4 linked regions of the Arabidopsis thaliana genome follow. The protein of the gene in region 1 interacts with the protein of each later gene in a pairwise test. Each region holds a gene or a part of one and is shown in the gene's direction. Other genes may lie near its edges.

Region 1 (7,588 bases):
TGTAATAAAAGTTACTTCTTTGAAGCAACACGCATTATTTAGTACATGTTTGAAGAGATATGTACACTAGCAATAGAGAAGCCAAAACAAGTGGGACGAAGAAAAACTGCATAGAATGATTTGCATTCGTATAAGTTACCCACAAGATAATCACTAATAAAACAACTGAAATATATTTAACCCTGACCCTTTCAAGGGGTTCCCATAACTTCTAAGCCAATCAGCCAGGTCACCAGAGCTTCCTTGCTGTTAAAGTTAACCCCACCGCTCGACAAACTCATCCATAAATAACAATACAACCTAACAGCTGCTAGAAGGAGGCTGCATGCGGTCCAAAATCTTCTTTTCCTTTCATCTGCTTGTGAAACCCGGTTAGCACAGAACTGTAAGCAATGGTTAAGATGTAAATGATGCTGGTTGGAGAAGTACATGTTTTGCATCAGGAATTTCGAATTCCAAGCTGCATTACAGAATCTGGCCCAACCAGGAATACACGTCTTGTTGTCTGGATTCGAAACACCACTACTCCTTTATATGCTGTTCGAGGCACACCATCCTACACAATCAAAGGGGTACAAAAAAAGTGACCCATTTGGACCTACAATTATTGAAGATTATAGTTCAATCATCTCAAATTTACCTTCCATTCTTCAAATATACCAAATTCCCCTGCAATGCGTTCAAACTCTACTTGGTCTTTATACCGGATACGAACATCATCCTTTATGTTTTGAGCCTTTAAGACAAGGTCAGAACCTTGAATTGGTCGTGCTTGTCTCACTAAGCCAGAAAAGTACTTGGTATAGTTTCCCTTTGATAGACATGAGAGAACAGGTTAAAAACTACATTTCTCCACTCAAAACATGCAAAATGGTATAAAAAAAAAAGGCCGGAGTTCTGTAAATGTTACCTCTGTCAGGTATCCCAGGTCCTTTGCTTTCCAGTCAACCTTTATGAATGAAATAGGAAACCAGTGAAAACTAGTGATGCAACAAAAGGGGGTAAAAAACACACTTACGCTTACCGTCACATCGTTTAGCTTTATAGGTTCCAGATACTGACTGAAAAACTGTCCCAAACTAGACCCCTGCCAAATTAATATAACAAGGTTATGGATAAGTATGAAATGCAAAAATATATTATGTGGTATTGACTGTCTACATCCATGTGTCGGGAAACTATAGGACGAAGCTGCAATAATACATTTTTCATACAGAAAGCAGAAGTCATATGCAGCGAACATAGGTCAATTTAACAGCATTACAAAAACAGACTTGTAAAACTATGATATATAGGATAGCATAATCGGGTACTAACATGTTCACCAAAATTGTATGTTCTACAGACTTCCGGTCGAATGAATTGGCGGCCTTTATGGTTTTCCTTTAGTCTCAGCCAATCATCCCAGTAAGTGGATATTTGTTAAGAAAAGTCTTAGAAACGTCAAACTATTTTTTTTTTTAGAATTTAAGAAGCGTCAAACTATAGTCATCGAGATTGAAAGAAAAAAAAGCATATAAGGATATGCCTTTGGCCACTTTGGTGATAACTCATCCCAAGTCGATCTCTTGAGCATCCACCCAAGGCCAGGAAAAAAATCTGATCGGTATAGCGCATCTGCAGATTATTTTAGCTCGCATGAGCTAGACATAATGAGGTATTGAAAGAACAGGCAAGAGAGGAAGCAAGGTAAAGAAGAAGAAGAAGAAGAATCTTACAGGGATCATGCACAAACTGCTTCTGTCCATTATCATTCCATGATGAAGCAGCCATAATGGTTCTAACACATGTTTGGACCAGAAAAGAATGAGAAACAGTAATAAAAACATTTGTATACTCTGTGGAAACTTATACTATAAGAGTCTAGCTTCAGTAGGTAACATACTTATCCCTATCCATGAGACTAGCTGCAGCCTCAAAGTAATCAAAGAAGTCTGGAGCAATTTCCATATCATCTGTTAAAGAGACAAGATAACCTCTCTTAAGCAATACTCCACAAGGTAAAGACAGCCCCTCTTAAACAATACAACAGCAAGGTACGATGAGTGTGAAAGGTTAAAAAGCGCCACCTTCTAGTATAATCACTCGACTAAATTTGTGTTTGTAAAACAACTGGTCCAGTGCCCACTTGTAGTGACCTGTATTAAAAAGTGTTTCAGTAATGGAGCTGGAGGGACGCAGAGAAAAGAGAAACCAGTCCTTACGTGCAATCTTGTAGTACGCAGTCAGTTCGCCAGGCCTTTCAGTGACCACTGGTTCAAAATCCAAGTGCTGAAAAGGGGAAAACGAGCCTTCATCCTCATTTATCTACTTGAACAGTGAGGAGAAAAATCACGCTAGATTAAATTACCTGCATATATGTTAATTGATTATAGCTCAATGACTTGCTCTTGACAGCTTGATCAGATCCATCCTGTCAGAAAATATGTCGTTGGAAAAGACCATGGTTAGTAATTCGTTGAATATAAAACAGTCTAAGAGACCACCACCCTGCAAATTAAGTACCTGAGATATAAATAGAGGATATTTTGAAGCAACGGGAGTTTGATATCTGTATAAAAAAAGAAATAGCCATTAGATAGTTCAATCAAAATGTGGTATAAGAATTAAATCAGTATAGTATCTCACGTTAAAACTGATTTAACAGTCCTTTCAAGATAGTCTGCACGACTGCAGGCCATAACCACTACAGCAGCCACAGGCATCTGCTAAATAAAAAACAAGAAACAGGTTAGATGTATATATATAGCAAGTGATAGCAGTTACAAATACGAAGAAAGGCATCTTCTTATCCAGACCTGTCCACCTTGAGTGAGTTTTGCTATTCCTTTTTCTGGAGGAAGAAAATAAGCATTAGTAGAAAAACTAATAAAAAGAAAGCAAGAAAATGAGTTTTACAGGTGATAGTAAGGCACTTTCAAACGTCTGGATTAGATCCTTAAGCTGCACAAGTTCTTCGTCCTGGCGGTTCTTCATATCTACAAGACACTCAGAAATCAATGTATAAGTCTTCTACTCCATTTAGAAAGTTAATTTTGTATAGTATTCAATAGGTTCCAAGAACCATGGTCATCTAGGATTCCACAAGTCCCAATGAGGAAAGAAGAAGGGGATATACCTTCGAGGGCAACAATCCGCGACTGTTTGATGCTAACTTCATCTATGAGGCCTCGCATTTGACTAGTGCAATGGTTCTCAGATTCGATCTGGAGAAACAAATGAAAGGCTGTGTATAGATCTTCATCACACACCAGGAAAAAATCGAAATACCAAAGGCAATGATATGGTGTAATAGTGCAGATAGTGTCTTCTTCTTGAAAGTAGTTCATGGGCTTGTAAAGAGCCAAAAAATGGGATTTCAAAAGGAACTAGTAGCAATGGTCTAAAGACAAAAGGCAGTGGTAAAAGTAGAAACTCACAGCGGAACTGAGGCGATCTGCATACTGTGATTGCGTCTGGAAAAGCCTCATCTAGAGAAGAGAAGAGAGGATAATTACAGACAGATTTAGGTTGCAGCGATGGAATCAATTTCAGTTTCAACTTCAAAAAGCGAGATCATCGGATATAGATTGACCTGGATGTAGATGAACATGAAAGCTGCCGGGATGAGAAGAAATCTCAAGTCACACGAGATCCTCGCCATATCGACGACAAACAACCAGATCAAAACCGGTGGATCTTCTGGTGTTTGCCGCCGGGAGGGAGCTAGCTAATAAGGAAGTTGTTTGAAACGGCGTCGTGCGTTATAACAAAAACGGTACCGTTTCCCAGTAAAAATGATAAGATGACCATTTCATTTCATCCATAAATAGAGCCGAGCTTCTTCCTCTGTAAATCTCTGACAACAAACCAAAAAAGAGAGTCCACCAACTCTACACGCAATTCATCCAATTATCTTGCTGTCGCCATTCGCCAATATCCATCCCCATCTTCTTCGATTTCTGAGATTCGGTCGAAAATCATCAGATGGGTTTTCAGAACGAAGCTAGCTCCTCCTCTTATACCCTTAAAATACCTCCACCGGCCAGAGAGGACTCGCCTCTTCTCGGCAAGGGACCTCCCCTCTCCAGCCAGTTTAAGACCTTCGCCAACGTCTTCATCGCTGTCGTCGGCGCTGGTGTTCTTGGTCTTCCTTACGCCTTCAAGCGAACCGGATGGCTCATGGGTGTCCTCCTCCTCGTCTCCGTCTCTGTTTTGACCCATCACTGTATGATGCTTCTTGTCTATACCCGCCGCAAGCTCGACTCTTTCAATGCTGGCATCTCCAAGATCGGCTCTTTTGGTGACCTTGGATTCGCCGTCTGCGGCTCCTTGGGGAGGATCGTCGTTGACTTATTTATCATTCTGTCTCAAGCTGGTTTTTGTGTCGGATATCTTATCTTCATCGGCACTACTTTAGCTAATCTATCCGATCCTGAATCGCCCACCAGTCTGAGGCATCAGTTTACAAGGCTGGGTTCTGAATTCCTGGGCGTGTCTTCTAAGAGTCTCTACATATGGGGATGCTTTCCCTTTCAGCTCGGTTTGAATTCGATCAAGACGCTCACTCACTTGGCTCCTCTCAGCATCTTCGCCGATATTGTTGATCTTGGCGCTATGGCTGTGGTCATTGTTGAGGATTCCATGATTATACTCAAGCAAAGGCCTGACGTGGTTGCCTTTGGTGGTATGTCCCTCTTCTTGTATGGTATGGGCGTCGCTGTCTATTCCTTCGAAGGCGTTGGAATGGTCTTGCCTCTTGAATCGGAGATGAAGGACAAGGACAAGTTTGGCAAAGTCTTGGCTCTCGGCATGGGATTCATCTCTCTCATATACATCGCATTTGGTATCTTAGGTTACTTGGCTTTTGGTGAGGACACCATGGACATTATCACTGCTAACTTGGGGGCAGGACTTGTCAGCACTGTTGTCCAGCTTGGACTGTGCATCAACCTCTTCTTCACCTTCCCCTTGATGATGAATCCAGTGTTTGAGATAGTGGAGAGGCGTTTCTCACGCGGGATGTACTCTGCGTGGCTCAGATGGGTACTCGTCTTAGCAGTGACTCTGGTGGCTCTTTTTGTGCCAAACTTTGCAGATTTTTTGTCATTGGTTGGCAGCAGCACTTGCTGTGTGTTAGGCTTTGTGTTACCTGCATTGTTTCATTTATTGGTGTTCAAGGAAGAGATGGGGTGGCTGCAATGGAGTTCAGACACAGCGATTGTGGTACTAGGTGTGGTTCTTGCTGTGTCGGGAACTTGGAGTTCCCTGAGTGAGATCTTCTCTGTCAAAGTGTGAGCGTCCGTGAAGTCAGAGATTGGAGAGGTTTTTCTCTCCTTGTGTGCAATTATGTATATGGAATTGGTTGTGGTTTTAAGAGTAACTGTGATTGTATTTGTATTTTGATGGTTTGGAATAAAAGAGATCAGCTCTGTCTTCTGTTTTGTGTTTACATGTACAACATATGTGAGAGTTTTGATTTCTCAATGTTACAAGCAAGGGAAGCTCGCGAAATAAGCCTGGCTAGCTAATCAAATGCTTTGGTTTTGTATTATTACAAACTGTTGAGTGTGTTCCTTCCATGAATCGCCTTCTTCAAGATGCCTCTCGTAGAAGCAAATCTCACCATCACCACCACCATCTCCATGGGACTTGACGATGATCGCAGAGATGCTTCTGGTCCCATAACGCCCCTGTATCTCCATGAGTGAGACTGAATATTTATGGAAAGTGTTAAACAAACAATCAATGTACTCTAAAAAAGGAAGGTTACAGTTGGTCTCTGCATGTCGACGAAGATGGAGCTGAGATGGTATTCCGTCTCTGGTGTGAAAACGTGAGGTAGCTCGGTTTCTTCGTCCTTGACAGTATTGGTCATCACCTCCTCCACCATGGTCTTCACCGGGAATTCACCGCTCCCGTTCTCAGCCAGAAGCTGTTGGAAACCCTCCCTCAGCCTCAGACACTGCAGAGACAAAAACACGCAATTGGGGGAGTCTGCAAAAGGTAAATAAAGGGAGAAATGGCCCACATTTACTTACCTTGGGCCAAGGGGAGTCGAGGTTGGCGTTGGAAAGGACATGGATCCCGGGAGAGACTTGCGTCACGAGCTTGTCACCGTGGGGTGGTCGGTTGGTAATGTAAATCATGGATTTGGACAAGACATGAGCGACAACCAGGTTAAAGCCATTGTAGAGTGAAATTTCGTCTTGGATCTCCTCGGCAAACTCGGCCGGACTCTTTTCGCTCTGTTCTCACCAAAACGTTAAAAGTACTCTCAGTCTCTAACATGAGAGACAATCTAAAGCATATTAGGTGGTGGTGTAGACCTGCAAGTAACGAAGAGGCAGATCTCCACGGGATTTAGCAGCAGGGAAGGAGGAGGCTTCCTTGAAATTGGTGAGGAAAGCCAGACGGCCATGCCTCGTGCAGCCCAGCCACGTCCCGCCGCCAACAAGGTCTCTTCCTCCCACCGTCTCTCCGTCTTCCCACCAACGCAGCGCCTCTGTCGCCCTTGACAATTTACACAAAAGATTAGTACAATCTCATCAAAGGAAACGATTACAGAGGGGATTGAATCACCTGTTGTGATCTTCATCTCTGTTGAGAAATAGAAGAAAAGGGTACAGCGGATGCGATTGCCACAGAAATACTGCTATGCACATTCTCTTCTCCTCCGACGAACCAACGAACCAACCATCTCTCTGCTCTAATCAAAGTCGTCGTCTCTTTTTTTTTTTTTTTTCTCCGTCTTCTACTTAAAGAAACTGCGTGTAGTTTTTCTTACCACGAAACGGCAGCACGTGCAGGTTTTAACAAACCTCTCGATTGATTGATTTGCTTTAAAGAAAGCTCGCCGGCGATGTGGTAATATCAGTCAGATCCAGATGACGACGTTCTCTACATGCGCCGCCTTTTTATCGCTGGTACCTAGCTTGATTGTTCTCTCTCCGTTCGATATGATTATCTATATTTACTTAGCTCGTCCTGGAATTCGCACTACTCTCTTAAAATGGATCATCTGATCAAATTGTGCCTTAATTTTTTGACATGTCGACGATTTGCAGGTAGTAGTGCTACATGCTGTTCATGTCGGTGGAGCCATTTTAGAGTCACAAGCACCGTAATGATACATCTCCTTGAAGCTTGTCTTTTGGCTACACTGTTTCTATTTTATTTTTATACTCTTTTCTTCTTTTTGCCATGATGTTTCCTTATGCAGCCACAGAGAACTTAAAGCTTATCGTCCGCTGCAAGATAATAATCTACAGGTCCCATTCTCCTCTTGTTCTCCAGATAACTTATTTGGTTCAAATATCAGACTTTGCTGTGATTAAGTTTTTGTTATCCACTTTTGCCTTTAGGAGGTGTATGCTTCCTCAGCTGCTGCAGTGCACTACGATCCAGATCTGAAAGTAAGGCTGCAGTCCTCTTTCTCTGAGTAGTGAATACAATTTGTATGCTTCCTACTTCTAATAAAGCTGTTATCTCAGGATGTGAACATAGTTGCGACATACAGTGACCATTACGGCAATATACGCCTTGGTAGGGTGAAAATGGGGGATCTTTCACCTTCTTGGGTTTTGGAGAATCCTGCCTATCAAGTTAG
Region 2 (7,397 bases), on another chromosome or scaffold:
AGACGAACCCGGAGAATACAGGACAGTGATCGGCAGCTTGCAATACTTGGCGTTTACACGACCGGATATTGCGTATGCTGTGAATCGATTATCACAATTTATGCATCGTCCCACAGACATTCATTGGCAGGCTGCAAAACGCGTCCTTCGATATCTTGCGGGAACTGCTACTCATGGTATATTACTTCGCTCAAACTCTCCTCTCTCGCTTCATGCATTCTCCGATGCTGATTGGGCTGGGGACAATGACGATTTTGTTTCCACCAATGCATATATTGTGTATCTTGGCTCTACACCCATAGCTTGGAGCTCGAAGAAACAAAAGGGAGTCGCACGTTCTTCCACCGAGGCCGAGTACAGGGCTGTTGCAAACACAACTTCAGAAATTAGATGGGTATGCTCTCTTCTTACTGAGTTAGGCATCACATTACCAAAGATGCCTGTGATATATTGTGACAATGTTGGTGCCACATATCTCTCTGCAAATCCGGTTTTCCATTCAAGAATGAAGCATCTAGCATTGGACTATCATTTTATTCGCGACAATGTGAGTGCCGGTGCACTACGAGTCTCTCACATATCAACACATGACCAACTTGCCGATGCTCTAACCAAGCCATTGCCTCGTCAACACTTTCTTCAGTTTTCAAGCAAGATTGGAGTGAGCAAACTCCCTCCATCTTGAGGGGGCATGTAGAGTATATAAGTAAAGGATAGTTTAGTAAATCATTAATCCCTAATTCATTCTAATGTAGTCCCTATATATATTGTAATTATATCATCTAATGAATTATTCAGCCTTCAATACTATAGTTTGATCATGTGCTTACTTTCCCTTCATTTGCGATACTTCAAGGTTCTTGCTGCCACTGTTTCTTTGAATGCGTCACATGTTTGAACATGTGTGTTCTTTTTGGATCGAAGCTTAGCTCTTTAGATGGAACTGAATAAGTAAAAGAGGTCACTGGATAAGCTCTGTTACTAGAATAATAGGAGGGCTTCTGCTTCACATTTGTAATCCTCTCTCTTTCTCTGAATTGATGTTGCAATTGCTTGTCATCAGTATCTGTATTTCCATAGATAACTGAACTCATTAAAGGGCAACCGAAGCTGCTTCGTGGTTTATGTTTCTTCTTTGTGGGCTATTTTGCTTTGCACTTTCACTTGTTTCTTAGTTTTGGTTTGATTTTTCATACTGGGCCCTGAGCAAAACAATTTTAGTTATATGACTTGTGAAACTTAAATGGGTTTTAATCGAATGGTAACTTCATCTAATTTGTTTGAATAATTCATCATGGACCTTAATGATAATATCTTGAGTCTACTAATCATTTCACAAATCCTTTCATTTTCCAACAGCAAGTAGCCTGATTTTTGAACCTCAGCGATAGACAGCTTAAAGTGCGGTCATTCTCGCAAAAAGCTATCAGTCTTTATTTGATTCACGAACATTATACACGAAAGTCAAAATTAAATAACCAAAAAAATTAAACAAAAAGCAAACAAGAAAACGACTTCTCTGGTATGATTGGAACAAATTTAATAGAGAGAGAGGTTAGATAAGAATGTGGTAGAAGATAAGACCCAACTACGCGTCATAACTGGGTCCCATCTTTGTCTCTTTCCCTTCTTCACTCGCCAACCCCATCGCGTGTCCCCACGCTCCTTCCCTTTACTTTTTCTCGTTATCCAAAACACGACGATTCTTCATTTTAGATTTTTTTCATTAATAAAAAAAAAAAAGTCTTTTATTGCAGAAATTTCGATCGTTTTTGTTGTGTGTACAGAGAGATTATCGTGTTTTGTTGGCAATCGCCATTAAACCTTCTTCCCTCTAACCCAATCAAATTTGCGGCTCTTTCTTTTATCTTCTCGCCTCGGTTTTAGCAAACCCTTTAGTTATCTTCTTCCTCAAGCAATTTTTCTTTTGGATTAGATTGGTGTTTTCTTTTGGTTTGTGTGGTGATGATGAGAAGGCAACGAGATGAACAACAATCTAGGGTTTTCTACGATCTATCATCTCTTGTTTTGAATCTTCTCCGTTCTCCTCCTATGCCGATTTCTTTACCTGATCATTTCCCCGATCCGCCCGCTAGAATTCGTCCTCCCTTTTCTTCGCATCGTTTTTCGTCTTCTTCGCCTTCTTTGGCTCATATTTCTCCGTCTGGATTCGCGTCGTTGCTGCTTGGTATATCTGTGGCTCTTATGCTATGTGGATCTGTGACTTTCTTCATCGGGTTTCTCTTGATGCCTTGGGTTCTTGCTCTGATTTTGGTTTTCTATGTCGCTGGCATCGTTTCTGCCATTTCTATGGTCGGGAGGTCGATTCTCTGTTACGTCTTGACGCCACCTTCTCCTTCCGGAAAGGAGATTTCTGGTAATTTTGTTGAATTTTAGGGTTAAGTTTGTCAAATTGGTTTCAATGATTCAAGCTTTCTACTTTCGTCTCGGATCTGTTTAGATTTTAACCAAAGTTTCCTTATTGATCATCTAGAAATGATTCCACTGGGTTTTGGTTCTGTCCTTATTTTGATAGAAATGGAGGTTCGAATTAGGGTTTTATTGAAAAGCACACCGATGTTTGTTCTGTCTTTGACTGAAACGATATTGTTCTTTTGTTTCCTCGTGGATCATATTATTCATGTTCACATTACTTTTGTTGTCTGAAATTAAACCTATGTTTGTATTAGTTTCATGTTCTTGCAATAATGTTTGTGTTTGACATGTCTATTCGCAGAATGGAAGCTTCTGTGAAATGATTAAACAACAGAGGTGAAGAATCTATACATCATCCGGAAGCAGAGCAGAGCGAAGCAGAACAAAAAAAAGAAGAAGAAGGATTGATTATATAAACACATATATCCGATAGAGTTTTTCTATGTTCTTTATCTGTATTTTGTTGGGGGGGTTTGGGAAAATCATGTGGATATCAGGGAGTTTTATATTTCTTTACATTTCGAAAAAAGAATTTTTCTATTTAACTACTGTTAGAAATAGAGAAGCCTTGTTATTTGTGCTTTCATGTATGTCGTTTTTATGTAACATGATCATTTCTTAAAGCATACAAAAAGATTTTAGGATTTCTGTTGCACTTCTTTCGATTTCCTTGCATTTTCGAAACACTCTGTGTTGATATCTCTTCCTTTAAATCTTCTTACAATATTTGCTCATTCTTGATCTCTTTTATGGTTTTAAATAATTGTCTCTTCAAGTTCACACGGAATCTAGTGTGAATCGAGGTTTAGTCGTGCAGAGTTGTGTGTGTTATTACATGTTTTATTATTGTTTAAGTATATTTATTTAGTGGAGGACTATACGCTATTTGCACATCTCAATGTCAAATTGCTCAAAAATGGTAGAGGTGCCGTGCCGTCAATAGATGTCACGTGTCCTGACTTGCCTTCTCAATACAAACAAAAATACTCTCTACCTAAAAAAACACAATAAACAACAAACGCATCTTTGGAGCGGCGGTGAGATTAGAGAAGAAGGGTTTGTGAAATGGAGTCCAGTGAGGATGTGGAGAATCTGAGTAGAGCTATTGAGAAGCTTCTTCATGAGAAGAGGAAGAGAGAAGCTTCTGGTGACGCCTTCATTGAAGACGCTGATGATCAGCTTTTCCTCTCTAGCCTTATCTCTCAGGTACTTTACCATCGCTCTGTTTTCTCCTTTGTTGATTTATCTGATGTTGCAGCCAATCAACTTTCTGGGTATATGATTGAATCATGAGTATTTGAGTGAGTCTGTGTAATTGTTTCGCTGTGATGTGTCTGCTTCGATTTTGATGAGATCCAACAAATACAAGCTTATCTTCATGATTGTGTTTAGTTGCTGTTTCATGTCCACAACATTATTTGTATTGGGATGTGTCCATTTCAGGCTTGTGCTAATTTTTTTGCCAATAACTTAGTTGGAATCACCAAACCCCAAGGGGAAAGAAGATGTCATAACCGGAGAAGAAGAAGAAAAAGAAGAAGAATCTGCAGATTCTTCACCATCCAAAGGAAAAAGCGAGGGCCAGAGACAATTGGAAGAAAGTATAGAAGAAATAGCTAAAGACATCAAGAAGGTGAAGAAGCAGAACAAAATAACCCATGTACTTCTCTCGGCTACGATCATCCTGACATTGGTTTGGCAGCTCTCTGAGTACTCCATGATTTTCATGTTGAAAGATAGAATAAGCCACCCAGTCAGATCCATCGGAGGTATGCTTAATGGAATGTTCAAAGGTAAGTTACGTCCAATCAAGAACCAACTTGCGGGGACTTCCAACTCCAATGACCAAAACAACCATGGGAATGGATCACACACTGGACCTCAACTTCAAGTGCCCGAGCTGTTGCGAGAATTCGGTTTCGACGATGAAGAATGATAGCTTCCCTTTGTGACTCAATAATACCAGTTGTTATTTAGGAACAGGGGTCACCCTCATTGTTTCTTTGCTTTTAGTATAAGTAGTTTACTTTTATATGATCAAAATGCGAAAGAATAGTTGCTTTCTCAAACTTTTCCACATGAAAAAGGGTTCCAAAAGAGAACCGTATTTCAAAAAATCTTTTGTTTTACCCTTACTGAATCATGGTTCAGTGCCCGAAAACAAAAGGAGTCATCTCAAACAAAGTAACAAATAGCTCCATTGATTAAAATAAAAACAGACAGCAAACCACCTGAAACAAAGCTTAATGTTCCAAATCTAAAACCAACTCAAACAGTTTTTGAATAGTCCCAAACTTTCCACCACTCTCTTTTCAGCTTCCAATAATGGTTCCATGTACCTCTGGCATCAAATTCCTCAGGCATAGTTCAACCTGAATATGTCATTGAACACGTAGTAGTTTCCCTGATTCGATATCAAATGGAACATCTGGACACAAAACACAAGTATGTCAGGAATCAGGCAAAATCCAAACAACAAGCAGTCATCAGATTTATGTTACAATCATATAGTGATCCAGTGCGTGATTCACAACACAAGAGATGCATACGTAGCTCATTACAAGTAGGTCAAGTTGACAGAAATTCATCCCACTTTGCTCTATACATACATTCCACAAGTTTGATGTTCATACAAATATGATAACAAAACACAATTAGTACCTTGATATGAAGAACTAAAATGACAAAAACATCTCTTATCGAACAAATCTAGTAAAGAGCGTTCAACACTAAAAAGAGAAAACAATGTCTTACGGCAGATGATACAAACACTGCAAGCATCTCAAACTATTTAGAGTTGAGACAATTTAATCAAGAAGGTGGCATATCTACAACTACAACAAGATCACATATGAGCATAGTTGAAAAAAACTAGCAGAATCATGGCAAAGCAGTTTCCCAATACTACATTCACGAAGTGCAAGGAGATAGAAGCTCCACAAGACAAAATCTAAATGACACAAGATTACATCTACTGATCTACGCAATCATTTGGGGGAAACCTCTTTTATCTCCAACCTTATCACAGATCTATCACTAAATGCATCAGGGAGGGTCTAAAATTTCGAGACAATTCCAGATCATTGAAGCTTTTAGTGACCTAATACACACATCAATCTACAGAGCAGTAAGGATAAAAACCCTATCGTACATGATCAACAGCGAGGAATACAAAGGAAACACTAAAAATCGAAGTGATCTAAACCCAAGGGAAAGAGATAAGGCAAAAAAAAACCTGGCTGAACTTGAGAGCGTGTTGTTCACCAGCGAGCTGAAGATTGCCGGAGACAAAGACGAGCATACCACCGGCGGGACCAGAAGGCTGACAATCGACGGTGGTGATGTTGTGCTTACACTGCTGGAAAGGGAGGCCGGTGAGCTTAGCGACGATGTTCTGAGAGCCCTGGATCTTCTGGCCTTCGAAGGTCAACATGGATCCTTCTTGGTATAGAGAAACCAACCCTGGACGATTTGCATCGAAGGTGGAGTAGTAGTGCTCAACGAAAGCCTTTGCAACAGCGTCTGGATCCATCTCTTTCTTCGTCTTCCTTTTTGATCCTTAGCTCTTGCGTCGTGCTTTTTCAACAGGCGAGAGAGGATCGAGAGGGTTAGATAATTTACTGAAAAATTATACGAATGGACCAAGACTAGAGATACTGAAATGAGTGTTTGACGATACTTTAAATGGGCCTTATATTTTTCAAGTTGGGCCCGTTAATATATGGGACAATCAACAGTATAGCTCAATTGGTAAATTGACTAACTTCATTTGATTCCTACACCATTTAAAGATTTTTAATCAAATTCTGATATAACTAAGATAATATTTTAAAGCATTTAACTAACATGGAAAATTATGAAATGAAATATTAATTTTGGATAGAAAATTTAAAACATTTATCTTTGTGAAATAAAAAGAAAGTCTCTTATAATATAACTTGTAAAGTAATCCTTTAAATTCTAAAAGATCTAAAACAAAATGAGTTAAATCCTATGTCTATGTGTTGAATCTGGAAGATCGAGGTGGAAGAAAAAGGATCATGATTCATGGGTGAGAGAACAACCGTTGATTGGTGTGTTTCAACTTTCAAGCAATCCCATTTTAAAAAAATAAATTTATGTAAGCAATTGCAAACAAAATGAAATGATTATGCTTTAAGATATCGACACGTGTAAAACAGATGACGTACCAAGAAAATAAATGATTCTGTATTTTGTTTTAGCCATTTGTTTTTTCTTTAAAGGAAAGTGTATGTTGAAATTGAAAAAACAAACCGAGTTATATATATAGAGTTATTTGACTAAAGAAGGAAGCTTTGGTTAAACTAACTTGTATAATTCTTTTGTGTAGTTTAGTTTTGATAAAATGGCCAAACAATTTTGGTCACTTTACCAACTACTGCAAAAAAACCATTTTCATAATAATAAATTGTAACACGCCTTTTATTTTTATTATTGGAGGGTGAGAACTGAGACCATATATGCCTTTGTTCCCTTCTTGTGGGTCCCTTTAGCCTTTTTTTTTCTTTTGCCTGCGCCGTTTAGTGTTTTTTCTTTTATATATAAATAGAGGTAAGTTATTTTACCAATCATTTGGTGTTATTAATAGTAGTATTAATGAGGTTCTAAACTTGTTTATAAAAATCAGATCTTACTAAACAAACTCAAAGAATCTCAACTATGAACATTTTTCTTCTAGAATCGAGTTTTAACATCATCATCAGCAGGATATAATTTTTTGTGTTTGAATTTTATCTGTATTTTTTTTAGGAGTACATAAGCAGCTTAAGATTAAAATATATATTAATGGAAGTATGAATGAAAAAAGAAAAGAAAGATAATCAGATAATAGAGAGAGAGAGAGAGAGAAGGAAGCAGACATTTGTCTTCCACCATATTCTTCTCATCTTTTCCGATGATAGATTCTTCTTCTTCTTCTTCTTCTACTACTACTTCTGCTC
Region 3 (8,887 bases), on another chromosome or scaffold:
ACCAGTTTCAGCTTCAAGTCTTCTTCATTTAATTTTATTTTTCTAGTTAAATGTTTTCGACTTCTCCTTTTTTTGTTTGATTTTCCTAACTTCAGTTTGTTTGATTTAATGAAAAAAGAAACCTCTAATAATGACTCACTAAAGACAACCACCGTTATCTCTCAACAAGTCAACATAGAAAAAGTTTCAATACAAGATTCTATTTGGAAAACCAACTCGTTTGTTAGAAATTTACATTAGTTATCGAGAACAAATGTATATATATATATATATATATATTAATTTGAAAAAGAAAAAAAAAAAAAACAGTGACTCCCACGTAATACGCTAAAGCTTAAATGGTCAACTGATTCATAAAGTAACTTTCAAGAACATTAACCGCTTTGAATTACGACTTACATTGTGACTCAAATAACTGAATCAATTGATTAATGGATAACGTGTACATGCTTTAATACTTGGACCAGTTAAAATTCTAGTAGATACGATCAGTGACATGAAATGATAAAAGTTTTCAAAATGAAAAAAAAACGACAACAAAATAACAGAAGTGGCAAGAAAAAGGTCTGTAATATACTAATATAGGTAAAAAGATAGAGATACCAAACGGTATTAATTTTTTCTGATAAACAAAATATGTGGTACATTATGGATACGATAAAAAAAAAAGTCATCATCAATCAAAAAAAAAAAAAAAGTTTAATGAACAGTCAACTAAATCGGACAGCTCTCTAATATATACTTTTACCTGTCTTATTGTTCCCATACCCCAAACTAGACTAATTAGAACTTGTTTTAATAGTAAAATTCAAGTTTTTGTCTTGCAGTTTTCTTTCGAGTCTCAAGTTCAAAAGGACTAAAACGGAGGAAAAGATGCATGCTTCTCAAAATTCCGTCTCTGTCCTGTTTTCTTGAAGTCACGTCTCAACTCTCAAAGTCTCCTTTCCCAAACCCTAAATTCTTAGTGTACCAAGCGCAAAATCGTTTCAAAATACCCTTTTTGTAATAAAAAAAAAATGTATGCATAAATGAAAAATAAAATAATACAAAATCATGAATTAAATCATAGTAAGAGATTCCAAATTAAAAGAAAACAAAAACTCATAAGTAACTTTTTACATGATCCATTCTGATTGTAAATCTCGATTATGAATTAGTGCAATACAAAAGTTGGTAGCCAAACAAATGGTTTCAATAAGTCTGGTTTTTGGATAGTGTCGTGACTTGGTAAAGTAACATTTCACTAGATTTGCTTGTCCGAAGCCAATGAGAATGACTCACTTTTACATTTCTGTTCACACCATCATTATTATCAAAATCTCGTTATCATTGTTACTACCATTCCATACGTACCTTTAATCCATACGACCAAAATAATGCATAAACTCCCTGCAGGGACAAAGAGACGTCGGAAAGTACGAGATTAGACCACTCCAACTGCCAAAAGAACTACGCGGGCTAAGACGTTTCATTTGGCAGTGACAAAAACAACGTCAACGGTGAACAGTGCCACCATGGCCATCGTCTTAGCTTTTTGAAGACACGTAAATCCTCCTTATCAAAAATTATAACAAAATATAAACATAAGCTACCGATCTATAGTGGGCTTTTTAAAAAGGATGGGCCGACTATTCAAGTTATCAACACGTCGTCGTATAATCATAGTAGCTCTTTGTATTTTTGTTCCGGACATGATTATCTTAGTATCCAAACACGTCACATTCAAGTTTATTCTAAAGATTTTTCTCTCCGGAGACGTTAAGAGAAGAAACAGCCAACGGATTAGGGATCTTACCGTTCTGCGATTCGCCGGTGAGTGTTTTTATTTTATTTTTCCGATTTCATATCGGCTTCTTACTCTTTAATTCGATTTCCTTATATGTTATCGTGATTACCTTCCCGAGAATTCATGGTAAAATTGATCGGTATATATTTTGATAATCGACTTCAATTTGGTTTATCCCTCCTTATGCTTAATTGCTTCACTTACCGGTTTTGATTCTGACTTGTATTGATTTGATATCGATTATCCGGTTTAGTAGCTTCAAGTGTTTCCCCTGTGTCCATGTATCGTCTTGGTCCTGATGATTTTGAAATGTTCTGTTTTGTTTGTTTATGTTAAGAACAGAGTTTGAAGCTTTTTTTAGAGACTTCAATGGTGAGCCAAGGAATGGTATCTCTTACAAAGTCTCTATGCACTATGACTCCAAGAGTCCGTCTCAAGAATCCGAATATGTTGCAGAAACTAAAGACTGGATCTTGTAATTTCCGTTTCAGAAATCTCCGTGTCTTATGCACACCAAAGCTGTCTCAGTGGGAACCGTCACCTTTCATTCATGCTTCTGCAGAAGAAGCTGCTGATATAGTATTGGACAAAACCGCGAATGTGTTCGAATCTATTGTCTCCGAGAGTGCAGAGGAAGAGAAAGTAGATATGTCAGCGCAACAACGAACTAATTCTCAAGTTCAGGTACTTAAATGGCCAATATGGCTTTTGGGTCCATCTGTTCTCCTCACAAGCGGTATGGCGCCTACTTTATGGCTTCCGTTGTCATCGGTTTTTCTCGGTTCCAACGTGGTTAGTCTACTTTCTTTGATCGGTCTAGATTGCATTTTCAATCTTGGAGCAACCCTTTTCCTCTTAATGGCTGATTCTTGCGCACGTCCTAAAGACCCATCACAGTCCTGCAACAGCAAACCACCATTTAGCTATAAGTTCTGGAACATGTTTTCACTCATAATCGGGTTTCTAGTCCCAATGTTACTTCTCTTCGGATCCCAATCTGGCCTTCTCGCTTCTCTCCAGCCCCAGATTCCTTTCCTCTCGTCCGCTGTTATCCTCTTCCCGTACTTCATTCTCCTTGCTGTTCAGACATTAACAGAGATCCTCACATGGCACTGGCAATCACCGGTCTGGCTAGTCACACCAGTTGTCTACGAGGCTTACCGAATCTTGCAACTGATGAGAGGGTTGACACTTAGTGCAGAGGTCAACGCACCGGTTTGGGTGGTTCATATGCTTCGTGGGCTTGTCTCTTGGTGGGTATTGATCTTGGGAATGCAACTCATGAGAGTTGCTTGGTTTGCTGGTTTTGCATCTAGAACAACAACAGGTCAGCAACCACAATCTGTTGCTTCTAAGTAAAGACAGATAAATGTTTCTTCGTTTAGTTTTTAAAGTCATGTCAAAGATTTGTAACTCTTTCTTCACTGTATAGCTTTTATTATTCGTGGGTTGGTGATAAGGATTAAAAAAAAACACATATTCTTTATGATCATATTCGCTCTTTTAGTTAGGTATGTGATGTTATTCATTTCAATATTAAAGGCTGATAGGTTGACGTTAAGGTTGAGAATATGCAAAGGTTGACACAGATTCCTGTCAAAGAAAGACATTTAAGAATTTACGAAAAATGATGAAAATGTTTCTCTTAAGAAAGTAGAGCATAATGTCGAATAAGACTAGTTTATATGGTTTTGTATTTTTACTAAGTCATGTCAGAAAGAAGAAGAAAAATATATGTACTGTGTTATAGCCTTATAAGTAATAGGTTTTTGCATTTGGTGAGTACTTGGTAACAGTAAAAAAAAGAAAGTTATACGTTACGTTGTGAAATATGATCAGATTATAATGTATATTCTTTACTTTAGTTGAATTGTTGTTGTTGTAATTCATCTCCACGCGTTTGCGATTAGGGCGCGTTTGCGTTTTTATCAATTTTAAATGAATTGACAGTATTACCCTTGAGAAATGAACAAGACAAATAGCGATGTCCCACTCTATTCATTAGCTCTGTCTAATCTCTCTCGATCGACGACTGCTCTCTCTCTGAACCGGAGACGGTGTCACGGGACGAATCTAATCGCCGGGAAACCGTTTTTTTTTTCTCTCGGAAAATCGATTTGAATCTCCGGCGATCTGATCGGGATGAGTAACATCGATCTGATTGGGATGAGTAACCGCGATCTGATCGGGATGAGTAACAGCGAGCTTCTCACCGTCGAGCCTCTCGATCTTCAATTCCCTTGTAAGCTTTATTCATAACTCTTTCAATATTTCGCATGTCTTATTGCCCCAGATCTATGTGTTAAGCTTCTTCTCTGATTTGATGTAGTTGAATTGAAGAAGCAGATCTCTTGCTCTCTCTATTTGACGAACAAGACCGACAATAATGTTGCCTTTAAGGTTATAATTCTCTTATTTAGCCTTATCAATTTTGGAATCGAGAAAAATTGTTTCGTGTTTCTGAGGCTTCTCGTGATGATTTAGGTTAAGACGACGAATCCGAAAAAGTATTGTGTTAGGCCTAATACTGGAGTTGTTCTCCCGAGGTCTACTTGCGAAGTTCTTGGTCTGTTCTCGATTTGTGTTTTTTTTTGTTAATTTCGATTTGCTAAATTGGTTATTGGATTAGGGAATTTGATGAATTCTTAATGTCTGGTTTGATATAGTGACCATGCAAGCTCAAAAGGAAGCTCCTTCCGATATGCAGTGCAAGGACAAGTTTCTGCTTCAAGGTGTGATAGCTAGTCCTGGTGTCACAGCCAAGGAAGTTACTCCTGAGATGGTATATTATTATATGGATGGTTACAGTTTTCATATGGATGGTTACAGTTTGGTGTTGGTTTTACTTAAAAGCAGTATTTTTCTTGTTTCTTGTAATGAAATTTTGCAGTTTAGCAAAGAGGCTGGACATCGAGTTGAGGAAACTAAACTGAGAGTTACTTATGTTGCTCCACCACGACCACCATCACCGGTTCACGAAGGATCTGAAGAGGGTTCTTCACCCAGGGCTTCTGTCTCAGATAATGGACATGGTTCTGAATTTTCGGTTAGTACATGTTAACTTAAGTTTAGATTTCAGTTTCTCTGGTAGACATATTTATATGTAGATTTTCATGTTTAATTTTAGTTTGAGAGATTTATCGTGGACAACAAGGCTGGACATCAAGAAAACACATCTGAGGTATTTTTCACAATTCTTCCAAGTTTGTCACCGTCAAAACCATGTGACATCATCTTTTGCTTTTGCTCTGTTTAAAACTGATTTTTGGAGGTAGCTTTACTGGAAAGTTGCCTTTTAGGCTGATTTACTAGGTTGAGAATCTTTCTTTATGTTGATTACTTAAAAGGTTCACTACATTTTTAGAAGCCTGTCCAGTGCTCAAGCCGTCCATTAATTGTCTTTTTGTGCACCAAATCCTCGTAGATGTTATTTTGACACAGTTACCACTTACTATACACTATTTTGCTTCAGTCATTCTACATTATTTCTATTACCGCTGAATTTTGTATGATTTCAGGCGAGGGCACTCATTACCAAGCTAACCGAAGAAAAACAGTCTGCCATTCAACTGAACAACAGACTTCAAAGAGAACTGGTAAAACAACTCTCACTTGGATCCTTTATTATCTCTGAATCTCCTCCATGCTCTTGTTACTTTGATGATTAGCAATCTGTAGCGTTTGTAGTGTTTTTCCATGGTTTTGAGAAGGTATGCTTAAAGTCATCATTTGTTTTTGTGAAGAGATGCTTTAACTTATCTTTTGCATTGGCTTCTGTTTCCATGGTTGACTTATCTCACCATACCATTAATCAAAACCAGTCTTGTATGAATATTCCACAAGCTTAGTTTAGAATCTTGAGATTGTTTATCTGACAAAGATTTTGGTTTGATGTGGCAGGATCAGTTAAGGCGTGAAAGCAAAAAGAGCCAAAGTGGTGGTATCCCATTCATGTACGTTCTTTTGGTCGGACTCATCGGTCTAATTTTGGGATACATTATGAAGAGGACATAAACCACCCACCTTGAAATTAATCCCTCACCCGCCACGAAGGAAAAAAAAAAGACTTTTAACTCTTTTCAGTCGGACATTTTTTTCTCTTCTGTATTTGTCAATTTCGCCTTAAAAAGGTGTCCTAGAAGATTTGTGTTTCGTAACTCAGTTTGCTATGTTTTTTTCAACTTTTGTAATCCAAATGACTTTGCGTTGGTTCTTTCTCCACTAATTCTCTTATATTTCTTAACTTCATTTTCCATCTCAAACCTTCCTCCGTGTCTGCATTAGTCAGTGTATGTATATGTTTGTTCCAAATGCTTTTCTCTTCCTTTACCACATAATTTCTTACATCAATATTGAACAGAGATGAACTACAACGGCAATGTTTCATGCTTATGTTTTTTACTGATGAGGAAAGAAAGAGCTAAATCATGTGCAACTTTTAGTATCTTCTTCTAGTTTCCATCTAAGAACCATGGACTTGGACAACGAATAGACCAACAAGACTCGGTTCTCCATTACCCTGTTGCATCTTCTTGGTTTACTATTCATTTGTCCTAGTCTGGTCCATACACCCGACGTGCTACACAAATAAAACTTGAAGCAAAGAAAGATACTAAATGGGAGAAACTACAAGAGAAAAGAGCGAGAAATAGAAACTACCTGGATCAGATAGCAGCGCTAAGAAGAAGAAATTTTGGAGAATTGATCAAAGATTATAGATAAAACAAATTTACGTTTTTATATGTGTTGAGAGTATAACGATGAGACTATTTCTCTCTGTTTCTTGTTTCTCTGGTTTGTTTATGATGATGATCGATGATACTAAAACGATGAGAGTACATCTATATTTTTATTTTCGTTTCAAAAAGTGATTCAAAGACTGATCAAACAAACAATGTCTTTTGTCTCTTTAGTGACCGAAGAAACCTTAAAACAGACATGAGATAGAGAAAGCAGTTTCTTTCCACCTTTGTATCATTTTTACACTTTTATTGCTCGGCTTTTCAACACTTGTAAGCTTGTATCTCTGTCTTGCATATTTTAGATCTTCTTCAGCTTCGAGAAGGTTCCTGACTCTGAGAAGTGCTTTGAGCCCCACTTCCTAATCCTAAAGCTTGCTGAGGATTGCACAACTCTATTCCCTGCATAGAAGTGAAAGCCAAGCTTGATGTCAAACCAGAGGTAGTTGCACCACCCGCATACTGCCTTTCTTTAAGCTTTTTGGCGACCTTGGCATTAATTTTAAGCTTGCTCTGAACACTGGATACTCGCAGCCTCTTGCTTCCTGCCTGTCCAAGCATTCCATAACCTTCTCCTAGTCCATCACCGAGGGAGCTCTCTTCAGGTGTACCAAAGGCCGTCCTGTTGGCCAGCTTCCTCATATCTGTTACTTGATACCTTGCTTTCAGTTTTCTTAGACGGCGACCACCCCTTCTTTTCTTCGGCTCAGAATGAGGAATAGGAAGTGGCTTAGGCTGCCTTGCAGGAGGAGGTTCTTGCCACTTGTCAATCTTCTTACGGATCTCCTCCCTGAAAGCTTTTCCACTTATCCCTAACGGATCCTCTCTAGTAGCATCAACTCTAGCTGCCAAAGTTGATTTTGCAGCCACGAGCCTGCCAGCGCGAGCCTCAAGTCCAGGAGGCGTGCTTTGGAAAATCTCTGTCTGCTCCAGATAACCCACACGGGACTGAGACGTTGCAGAAGAAAACCCAACAAGGTTCTTCCTCTTGTGGCCAAGAACTTGAACATTACAGGCAGGCATTTTAGCAAGTGCTGACAAACCTCCAGCTGTCCCCATGAGTTTGGCTGCAACAGCACTCCCAACAATGGCGGAAAGATTAGGAGCAATAGAACCCATCTTACTTTCAACAAACTCAAGGACCTTCTTTCTTGCGGAATCAAGATCTAAATCCCGATCACAAGCCTCTAACACCTTTTGCTAAACATCCTCTGGCAGTGCACTCCCTTTCGTAGTTGAAGCAGTAACTGAAATAGCCATGATAATAGCTGGAGTAAGATCAAGGCCAGCAAAATCAACAAGAGTCAAATCCGTCTCATTGCCAATCTTCTTGACAACACATGCATAGTCAATAGGGTGATGAACCAACGACTCAAGCTCTTGAAACCTAAGCTTGTACTTTTCTTTGATAAAGTTGTGGACAATAACGATTTCATCCTCAATATCAACCGAAAGCTTATTACAATCCACAATAAGCTTATACTCATGATCATCAGAATCTTTCCCAAGAGCCTCCTCTACTTTGTGCATAATATCATCATATCTCTGAGTCTTCTGAAGCTTAGAAACACTATCGAGATCATCATAGTTAAGTGTCTCTAAATCCGCCATATCCATATCCACATCTTCTTCCTCCTTTCCAACATCACCATGATTCTCGTCCAATTCTGCTTCATTCTCAGATAACTCGTCAAGGTCAGCAAGGAAAGAATCTTCAAGAGTTGCCATATCTTTCTACTTGGAACACAAACGCTTCAGTGATTCTCTTGACGAATCCAAATGAGAAATCAATCGATTAGATTCGAGAAGATAATTGAAGAGCAGCGACCGACTACTATTTATAAACTCTCTCATGTGTTTAGGTTTCAAGTTTCCTTTTTTCACATGTGTTTGGGATTCAAATTTCCTTTAAACAAAAAAAGTTAACTCGTGTTAATTTCCTTTTTTCACTTGTCGGTTTATTTGACAACTACTAAACCATCAAAAACTAATTAAACAAATTTAAATTTTAGTTACTTAACCGTCACGTAGCATCCTCTGTTCGCCATTTATTGAATTCTAGTTTCTCCGCGTAAAGGATTTGATTGTGGTTGTAACTTTTTTTCTTTGTAGATAGTGTTAGGCTTTGATCATCTTCTTTAATGGGCGTATAGAACGTAAGTGTAATAATAGTTTTTGTTCATTGTTTTCTTCTGCAATTTTCTCAAGCATTCATTATCACATCATGAAGAGAGGATTAATTGATGACTCATATCATTAAGAATGAAATGATCAGATATTTTTCAAGTACTTCAACTAATTAATGCTGATTTACATAGATACTATATCGCCTCTACTTCTGATCACTAAAGATCAGAAGACC
Region 4 (7,916 bases), 7.5 Mb from region 1:
AGATAACCATCTATGACATTTTAAGGGAACGAAATGAGAGGCACCATAATCATATTTACAGGTCGGTTACCCTCCTCATCCGTGTGATTGATAAGTGGATCCCAAATAGGATTACATGTCTTCGATTTTCTTTCAAAACTTTGTACATAAAGTTTTTTTGTTGGTCAGTAAATTTAACATGTAAAAAACAAAACAAGAAAAAGTTTAAGCAAAGAAAAAACACTCATATACAATAATATTATTTTCACCTCTACAGGAAAGAGGTTTCATTTTTTCTATTTATTAAACAAAATATATCTTATTCGGTGTAGCATTATTTATTTCAAGTTGTGAAATAAATGTAACATCAATTTTATACTATTGTTCTCGACGTGAAATCTTATCGAATTTTGGTTCCATGGTCAAAACTCAAAAAGATGGTTGTACAGATATTAAGCATATCTTAGAATGATTACCAAACATGTGACTGAAATTTGAATCAAACTTAATAGTAATAAAAATGATTTCCCGTGATCCATGGCACCTTTTAAATCAAACTTAATAAAATATTACAAGTATGTATGATGAAGTTAAAAACCTTCCTTTCTCATGCGAACATAATATATTAATATGTCAAAATATACGATGGTTTTACTACAATGCATTTCCGAAGTGCCGGGAAAATTATATATAAACTATATTCAAATATAATTTGTTTAGCTAATTGGTAAAAAAACTGAATTTAAGTGTGGTTGTGTAGACGAAATGCTCTATTTTGAGCCTTAATGTTAACGAAAAACTAGATTATATATTTTTCTTTCTACGTAACCATAACCTCGATTAATGTACGTGTACTGTTTCATTTTTTGGACCCGACAATGTCTTTCGGCTTACAAAGCTTGGCCTGATTAATTAAAATAAAATTATCTTTTCAGCAAAAAAATAATGGAGGTTTTTATTGATGATTCGAACTAATTTTGAAAATTATATATAACTACAAATTTCATATTATTCGACCAATAATTTCCGAATAAAATAAAAGAAAATTACATGTCAATCCAATTCATGATTTTAAAATACAGTTGTACAAAAGTTTTAAAAGATATTTAGCATATCTTGAATTATACAGTTACTATACATGTGACTGAAATTTGACTCAAACATATTAGTAATAAAAACGATTTCCCGTGATCCGTGGCACCTTCAAATTTAAACCAAACTTAATAAAATATTACAAGTATGCATTCTGAAGTTAGAAAAAAAAATTGCCTTCCTGGCTTCTTTTAGTTACAACTTACAAGTTCCTGATTTTGCACTAATTTGGACATAGAACCAAAATCTTATCTCATTCAATGATTTCCAAAAATTACAAAAAATTAAAATATATTTTAATTCAATTAATGGTTTTGAATTACAATATCTGCATTTTAAGAAATCACATAAGATTTTTAGATAAAATTCAAAAAACAAATTTAGATATATATTTTTTTGGAATTTCTATTTAAAACCTGGTGAAATTGATAATGTGTTTTAACATTAATACATATACTGATAAACCATTTTAGATGAAGATAATATCTATATAAAATTTTCCTTTGCATTATCTTTGATACGTAAACCAGATATATTGCAATTAAAAATATAAAATTACGGAATAACATTGTAGCGAGAAATTGTGGAGCGTCATAATAAAAAAAGTTACATAGTTTTGGTAGAAATTTTTGACATGTAAGTTGTGAACAGACCCGTTAACAAATTTATGTCTCATTTACTTTATGCACACATACTACTCGTAACACTCTCACATCGTACAAAGATATAGATCTAGCACACGTATAATAGCTTCGGAAGTCATGCTGATGAAATGATGTTGATGATGATGAATATGATGGTGTATGATTATATCATGATGGGTTTGATATCATCGATTATAATAAAGTTATGATGATGTAAAAAAGTTAATGAATTGAATCCGAGTGTCGTGGTGGAAACATTAAGTAGCCCCCATAATTCATCAGTCCATTCAACTCATTTATTTCATCAACTTATTAAAATAATATAAAATGATAGTCAATTCATTGGTTGAGTTAAGTCAATGATCTACTAATTTTGATCGACTTTGATACTCCTACATTTACATCAATGTTTCTTTTTCTTTCTGAAATATTCTTTATTTACCTTCCCTTTGCATATATGTATGTTCTCAATTTCAATTCATATTCACTCCTCCTATTTTTTTGGCACCATACATCATGCACATCTGGATCGATACGTAACATGAAAGTCTTTAAGATTTGTCTTGTCACCATTAACCAGCATACGTGTTTACATGTGGAATTAACATTGCTAATTTACTGATAATTCAAATTGTACATTATAAAGAAACTTCATTTTTTCTCTGGTGGCCCGTGGCCACAACCCTACATTCTAACATCCATTAAAGAGGGTTCGAACTTAACCTAATCTAGAGATGACATTTTGAGTATTGTCGCAAATAAAACATTCTGATCATAATTAACATTTAGTTATATGTTAGTATGGATTCAAACCTGAGGTTGATATGATCGGATCCAAACAGTACACTACATTAAGTTTACGGATCGCAATCAAGATTGTTACGTTGGCATCAAGGTATATATAAAATATCTTGAAATTTTTTAGTAATTTTTATAATGTTGTGTACATATGTACACATGCACAACTATAAGCTAAATAAAGTATGTCCGTATTACCCGCTTGGTAGTTGAAGACTTAAAGAGGCCATCATCAATTCCATCTAGTGACATTTTTCAATTTCTCATAAATGATATAGTTTATTCTATAGTTTGCATGACATAATTTTGTTTTGTTTATATGATACGAACAAATTTGGGTGTAACAACATATGACCGGTGACTTTATATCCGAAATTCAGAATTCGATATGAGATGTTCTAAATGAATACTTATGTGAAATACAAACAACGCATAAAATGACGTATATATACTTATGTGATTATAAATGAATATTTGGAAAGTAGAATAAAAATTTAAAAACAAAAAGTAGATTGCAAGTATGCAACATTTGAATCCTAGGCGCGGATGGTTATGCATGTACGACATGCACGAATGATATAGGCTCTCTGCACAACACACAAGATCAAAACAAACAAATTCTGCATGTAGCATTCTAAAATTTTCGATAAATTTTATATTTGTTGATCTAAGAAAAAATTGTAATCCCTGAAAATTGAATTTGAGACCTGGTATAGAATCTCCACAAACATAGGAATTTATTATTATTAAAAAAGCTTTATTAACAATATATCATCTTCTTCTTTTTTTCAATTAATAAACTGGTAATATTAAAATCGTCAAAGAAGTCTCTCTCTCCCCCATGTTTGCCAATAAATAGGAGATAATCGCTACCAAACTTCTCATTCTCACAAGTCATAAACAGTCGTTTATAGTTCAATCCTTTTCCTCTTCTTTGTTTCTAAAAAGAGAAAAGTCACTTATGGCGGATATCTCGGGAAACGGCTATGGCAACGCCAGAGAAGAAGTAGTAATGGTGAATCTCAAGGATGAAGTCGAACATCAACAAGAAATGGAAGACATTCATAACCCAAGACCCTTGAAGAAACAAGACTCTCTACTCTCAGTCTCTGTCCCTTTCTTACAAAAGGTTTTTACTTTTAACTCTCCATATCCAACATGTTTTACAAGTTATAAATGAAAAGACTCTGTTTTGTACCAATTCACAAGACATCTCGGTTTTATTTACGCTATGTTTTCAGTTGATCGCGGAGTTTCTTGGAACCTACTTTTTGGTATTCACCGGTTGTGCATCGGTGGTTGTAAACATGCAAAACGACAATGTCGTGACTCTTCCAGGGATCGCTATCGTTTGGGGACTCACCATTATGGTCCTCATTTACTCTCTTGGTCACATCTCTGGTGCTCATATCAATCCGGCCGTTACCATTGCCTTCGCCTCTTGTGGCCGTTTCCCTCTCAAACAGGTCCTTAACACATACACAATTACATATAGCCTTTATATAATGATCGATCAAGTTTTGTATTTTATGTGTGTTTTTGAGTTTCATGAACAAACTAATTAAAGAACATTAGTGTATTTTGTTTCCATTGATCTAGTTTAGCTATCGGTTGCTTGTATTGCACACGAGACTTTGGGTTATTCAAATACGTAGCGTTTTTAATGCAACGTTTACTATAGATGAGTGAAGATACGTAAGGACAAATCTACTTTTGCTAGTTTCCAAAATAAATTAAAATGTTATGTAACTTTTGTATGTATATAGTTTTTCCACACGTCCATATTTTGTTATATAAACGTCAAAATATCTTCCAAGATTGGGTCCCTTCCCTAGTTAGTGTGAACTGGTGAATTAATTTATTTTATTTTTGTTCTTTGAATTTTTTTAGGTTCCAGCTTATGTCATATCACAAGTGATAGGATCAACGCTCGCGGCTGCGACATTACGGTTGTTGTTCGGACTTGATCACGACGTTTGTAGCGGAAAACACGATGTGTTTATCGGATCATCACCAGTGGGATCAGATCTTCAGGCGTTTACGATGGAGTTTATCGTCACTTTCTATCTAATGTTCATCATTTCTGGCGTTGCTACCGATAATAGAGCGGTTAGTATTTTCATATCTTCTTATGTTGTCAAATTCGATGGCTTATATTAGTGTTATTAATTACTGCTCCCTCTCAGAAGTTACATTTGTTTTCTGTGGTCTTTAAATTTACGAGAAACTTAACATTGGGACCAAATGCTGCAATATTCAGATCGGAGAACTTGCTGGATTAGCAATAGGATCAACGGTGCTACTTAACGTGCTAATTGCCGCGTAAGTTATCAGTTACCATTTCTATTATTGTGCTTATACTTTTTTTTTTTAGAGTAAGAATTCCAAAAAATGATTTATACGGTTATGTTCATCAATTTTATTAGACCGGTATCGAGTGCGTCGATGAATCCAGGAAGAAGTTTAGGACCTGCACTGGTCTATGGTTGCTACAAAGGAATTTGGATATACTTAGTTGCGCCAACTCTTGGTGCGATTGCGGGTGCATGGGTTTATAACACAGTTAGATATACCGATAAACCATTGCGAGAAATCACTAAAAGTGGTTCATTTCTAAAGACCGTGAGAATCGGTAGCACTTGATAAGAGAAAAGAAAACATGGGTGGAGTTGATGGAGTATTTTCAAATGAATGTAACAACTTTCACCACACCTTACGTATATGGCCTTTGTATTAATTGCTACGTTTATCTCTTTTATTGTTAACGCCAAGATTCTCTATCTTGTTATTAATGTGTAACTGTATCGTATATTTTTTAAATAATAAAATTCAATTCTAGAAAGATCAAACTTTAAAGTTTTAAGCAAAATTGTTGAATATGTAGAATTTGGAATTTGTCAAAGGAAAGCACAAGATCCGGAGTCACAATCATTTGCCTAGTGGGGCAATACTTTTGTCCATAGAACTTAAAAGCCGGGCACGGCACGTGTTGGTTTGACCTGATAGATCAAAACTAAACATCATCCACCACATACCAATCTCTAACGAATGGCACACATCCCAAATCATTCACCTCATATTTTTCTCATGCAACATCAGGAAACTTTTCATTTGTGATGAATAAAGAAGAAAACAATGAGGAAACTTTTCATCCACTAAAATGTGAGAAAGAAGACCAATTATTATTCATCTAATTACCCAACAAAGAATAAATTACATATTAGTTGGCTAAAATAAGATTAATTTTTGAAGAATTTACTAATCGAAAAATCCTAATCAAACCGAAATTTCGATCGAGCATAGTAGACTGAGCTGGCCAGCCGCTATGATGTCACAATTCACTAACACAAGGAAAAACTAAAGAACAAAATTGATCATTTTGACGAAGCCTCATGGAGAGGAACTAATAACAAACTTGTTTAATGTCCTCTGCTTCAATGAGGAATGGTTTCTTGAAGCTGAGGGTAAGTTGAATGCGAAAAGTTTTGGGGAAGTTTTATAAGATGCTCGTCGCGGGCTAGACCACGAAAAGCCATACCAAGCGAATAACCTAAAGCACGAGAAACCGAGACTGCCACTGCATTTCCAATCTGACAATACCTGTAGATAGTGAGAAGAAGTGAAATGATATTCGCATTTGCTTAGTAGTCTGAAACTATTGTCCTGGTTCTTATAATTTTTTCCAAATGAACAAAAGCAAGTACCTTTCTTTAATGGTTCCACAGAACTGGAAGTAATCAGGGAAACCTTGAAGCCGTGCAGATTCTCTTATGGTTAGCACTCGATCTTGCTCAGGATGCAATAACGCCTGCAAATAGCAAACTTCTTATAGAAACTTTTAAGAATTTAAAATATGGTATTATGTTAAAACCTGGAATGGCTTTGAGGGTACCTGACTGTGGCATGTTGGGACTGTTAGAACGGTTGGAACAGTTTCATCCCACCAAAGACGAGCAAACGGTCTGCGAATTTTATAAATCCAGAGAGACTTAAAAACATGAAAGCTTCAACAAATAGTTTCAGGCGGAGGAGTGTAAGAGTATACCTTTTAGATTTCCCTTGCTGAAAAGTAAAGACGTATCCTGGTACCTAAGGAGGGCCACAAGTGAGCTGATTCAGTACACATATATTAATTTTTGGGATTATGAGAACTGTTGACAGCAGACTTAACAAGCAGAATGACATTAGCTTGAGAATTTCAGCACTAATGTGTAGTTTCATCGATAACTCATGTAATTTTGGTATGGCTCAGTTCATATAAGAGGATTCTTTACCAAAGGCTTTCCTGATGGCAGAATAACCGGTTCCATTGATGGATCACGACATACTGTATTGTTTCTGACGATTAACCCCGGAAGATCCCTGAAATTAGCTCCCTGCAAACACTTCTCTCGACATGAGAATCTTTCGGCTAGAGGATCGGGATTGTTAATTAGTAAAACGAAATGAGTACCTTCCTCTTGGGGATTTGGCAAACTCGGGCATAGTCGTCTTCATTTATATGGAACGGCCTGTGATCATGCAGTAGCATTGTTCTTTTGTTACAGTTATCAATTGCAGAGCCTGTCAAATCTGACATAGCAAAACACTAACGCGTGAGCTACCATATGTAATATGCAAGTGGTCATGGCTTATCAGACAATTGTTGTGAAAGAGACCGTAACTACAGAATCCAGATCCAACTTACCACGTTTGGTTGATCTAATGTACCTCTGAAAATCTGTTTTTGGGAGACTTTCATAAGGCAATTTCTCCCGGTCTTCATCGTTTGATACCTAGATATGTGAAAAGAAATTATAAATATATATTAACCCTGAATTGCAGATGGATCTAGTGGAAATGAAACATACATGAGGAAGATCTGATATCGCATCTTTTAGAACAAGAGCTTTTTCAAGTTTTCTGGGTTGGCCTTCAGCATAAGCAACTACATTCCTCTGAAACATGAAAGCCAAGGTGGCTTAAGTTGGAAGAACGACAGGCTTAATGAAAAGAGTATAAGATAAGTCCCAATTTACAATTTGATTACCTCGAACTCAAGTGGAAGCCCATATCTGACAATAACATCATGCGTTGGAAGCGGAAACGGAGGTAGGTTCTGAAATGAAATACCAAATAATGTAAGTATGAAACCGTCACCTCGAGGAAGTTAATAGGCCTATAAATTCACCTTGTTTGGAACAGCTCCCCACATGAAAACTCTGGATCGAAATTGGGAAAGACCATAGCAACCAGCTGTCATGATACCTAACCTTGCTTGGTATCTCATGTTCACAAGACGGCTCAAAGCGTATCGCCCAAGAGAACCTTTGTCCATACGCAGAATATCAACAACATTTTCCATCAACACATATGAGGGTTTCAGATACTCCACTATGTCCATAAAAACTATAATTTGCTGAT

What was found.
Region 2: the proteins of AT4G38250 (region 1) and AT1G27300 interact in a two-hybrid assay, tested with the Arabidopsis thaliana proteins (one large-scale study listed by BioGRID).
Region 3: the proteins of AT4G38250 (region 1) and VAP27-1 interact in a two-hybrid assay, tested with the Arabidopsis thaliana proteins (one large-scale study listed by BioGRID).
Region 4: the proteins of AT4G38250 (region 1) and NLM1 interact in a two-hybrid assay, tested with the Arabidopsis thaliana proteins (one large-scale study listed by BioGRID).

What each region holds. Positions count from the first base shown.
Region 1 is NC_003075.7:17,931,567-17,939,154, forward strand, and holds AT4G38250 (Transmembrane amino acid transporter family protein), read left to right. Parts: upstream 1-3,835; 5' UTR 3,836-3,966; coding exon 3,967-5,277; 3' UTR 5,278-5,502; downstream 5,503-7,588. Other genes in the region: CGL1 (alpha-1,3-mannosyl-glycoprotein beta-1,2-N-acetylglucosaminyltransferase), read right to left, coding at 440-556, 641-811, 911-949, 1,025-1,087, 1,318-1,411, 1,527-1,617, 1,719-1,780, 1,886-1,955 and 10 more; AT4G38260 (transport/golgi organization-like protein (DUF833)), read right to left, coding at 5,511-5,672, 5,753-5,944, 6,021-6,227, 6,309-6,492, 6,562-6,644; GAUT3 (galacturonosyltransferase 3), read left to right, coding at 6,867-6,905, 7,047-7,102, 7,202-7,250, 7,344-7,394, 7,473-7,588. UniProt on the Arabidopsis thaliana protein: Translocates preferentially neutral amino acids from the vacuole to the cytoplasm.
Region 2 is NC_003070.9:9,479,823-9,487,219, forward strand, and holds AT1G27300 (uncharacterized protein), read left to right. Parts: upstream 1-3,334; 5' UTR 3,335-3,501; coding exon 3,502-3,642; exon of another isoform or gene 3,643-3,910; coding exon 3,911-4,372; 3' UTR 4,373-4,546; downstream 4,547-7,397. Other genes in the region: AT1G27290 (uncharacterized protein), read left to right, coding at 1,966-2,377, 2,738-2,754; NTF2A (nuclear transport factor 2A), read right to left, coding at 4,793-4,864, 5,672-5,968.
Region 3 is NC_003074.8:22,396,609-22,405,495, forward strand, and holds VAP27-1 (vesicle associated protein), read left to right. Parts: upstream 1-3,501; 5' UTR 3,502-3,928; coding exon 3,929-4,028; intron 4,029-4,115; coding exon 4,116-4,186; intron 4,187-4,270; coding exon 4,271-4,352; intron 4,353-4,452; coding exon 4,453-4,568; intron 4,569-4,676; coding exon 4,677-4,832; intron 4,833-4,893; coding exon of another isoform or gene 4,894-4,913; coding exon 4,914-4,967; coding exon of another isoform or gene 4,968-5,061; exon of another isoform or gene 5,062-5,304; coding exon 5,305-5,382; intron 5,383-5,686; coding exon 5,687-5,800; 3' UTR 5,801-6,116; downstream 6,117-8,887. Other genes in the region: AT3G60590 (cytochrome P450 family protein), read left to right, coding at 1,620-1,812, 2,124-3,145. UniProt on the Arabidopsis thaliana protein: Part of a membrane-cytoskeletal adapter complex that forms a bridge between the endoplasmic reticulum and the plasma membrane. Associates with microtubules.
Region 4 is NC_003075.7:10,418,968-10,426,883, reverse strand, and holds NLM1 (NOD26-like major intrinsic protein 1), read left to right. Parts: upstream 1-3,375; 5' UTR 3,376-3,474; coding exon 3,475-3,642; intron 3,643-3,754; coding exon 3,755-3,979; intron 3,980-4,403; coding exon 4,404-4,622; coding exon of another isoform or gene 4,623-4,673; exon of another isoform or gene 4,674-4,773; coding exon 4,774-4,835; coding exon of another isoform or gene 4,836-4,839; exon of another isoform or gene 4,840-4,939; coding exon 4,940-5,156; 3' UTR 5,157-5,363; downstream 5,364-7,916. Other genes in the region: CMT2 (chromomethylase 2), read right to left, coding at 5,948-6,113, 6,218-6,321, 6,406-6,475, 6,559-6,602, 6,788-6,889, 6,967-7,085, 7,201-7,288, 7,364-7,450 and 2 more. UniProt on the Arabidopsis thaliana protein: Water channel probably required to promote glycerol permeability and water transport across cell membranes.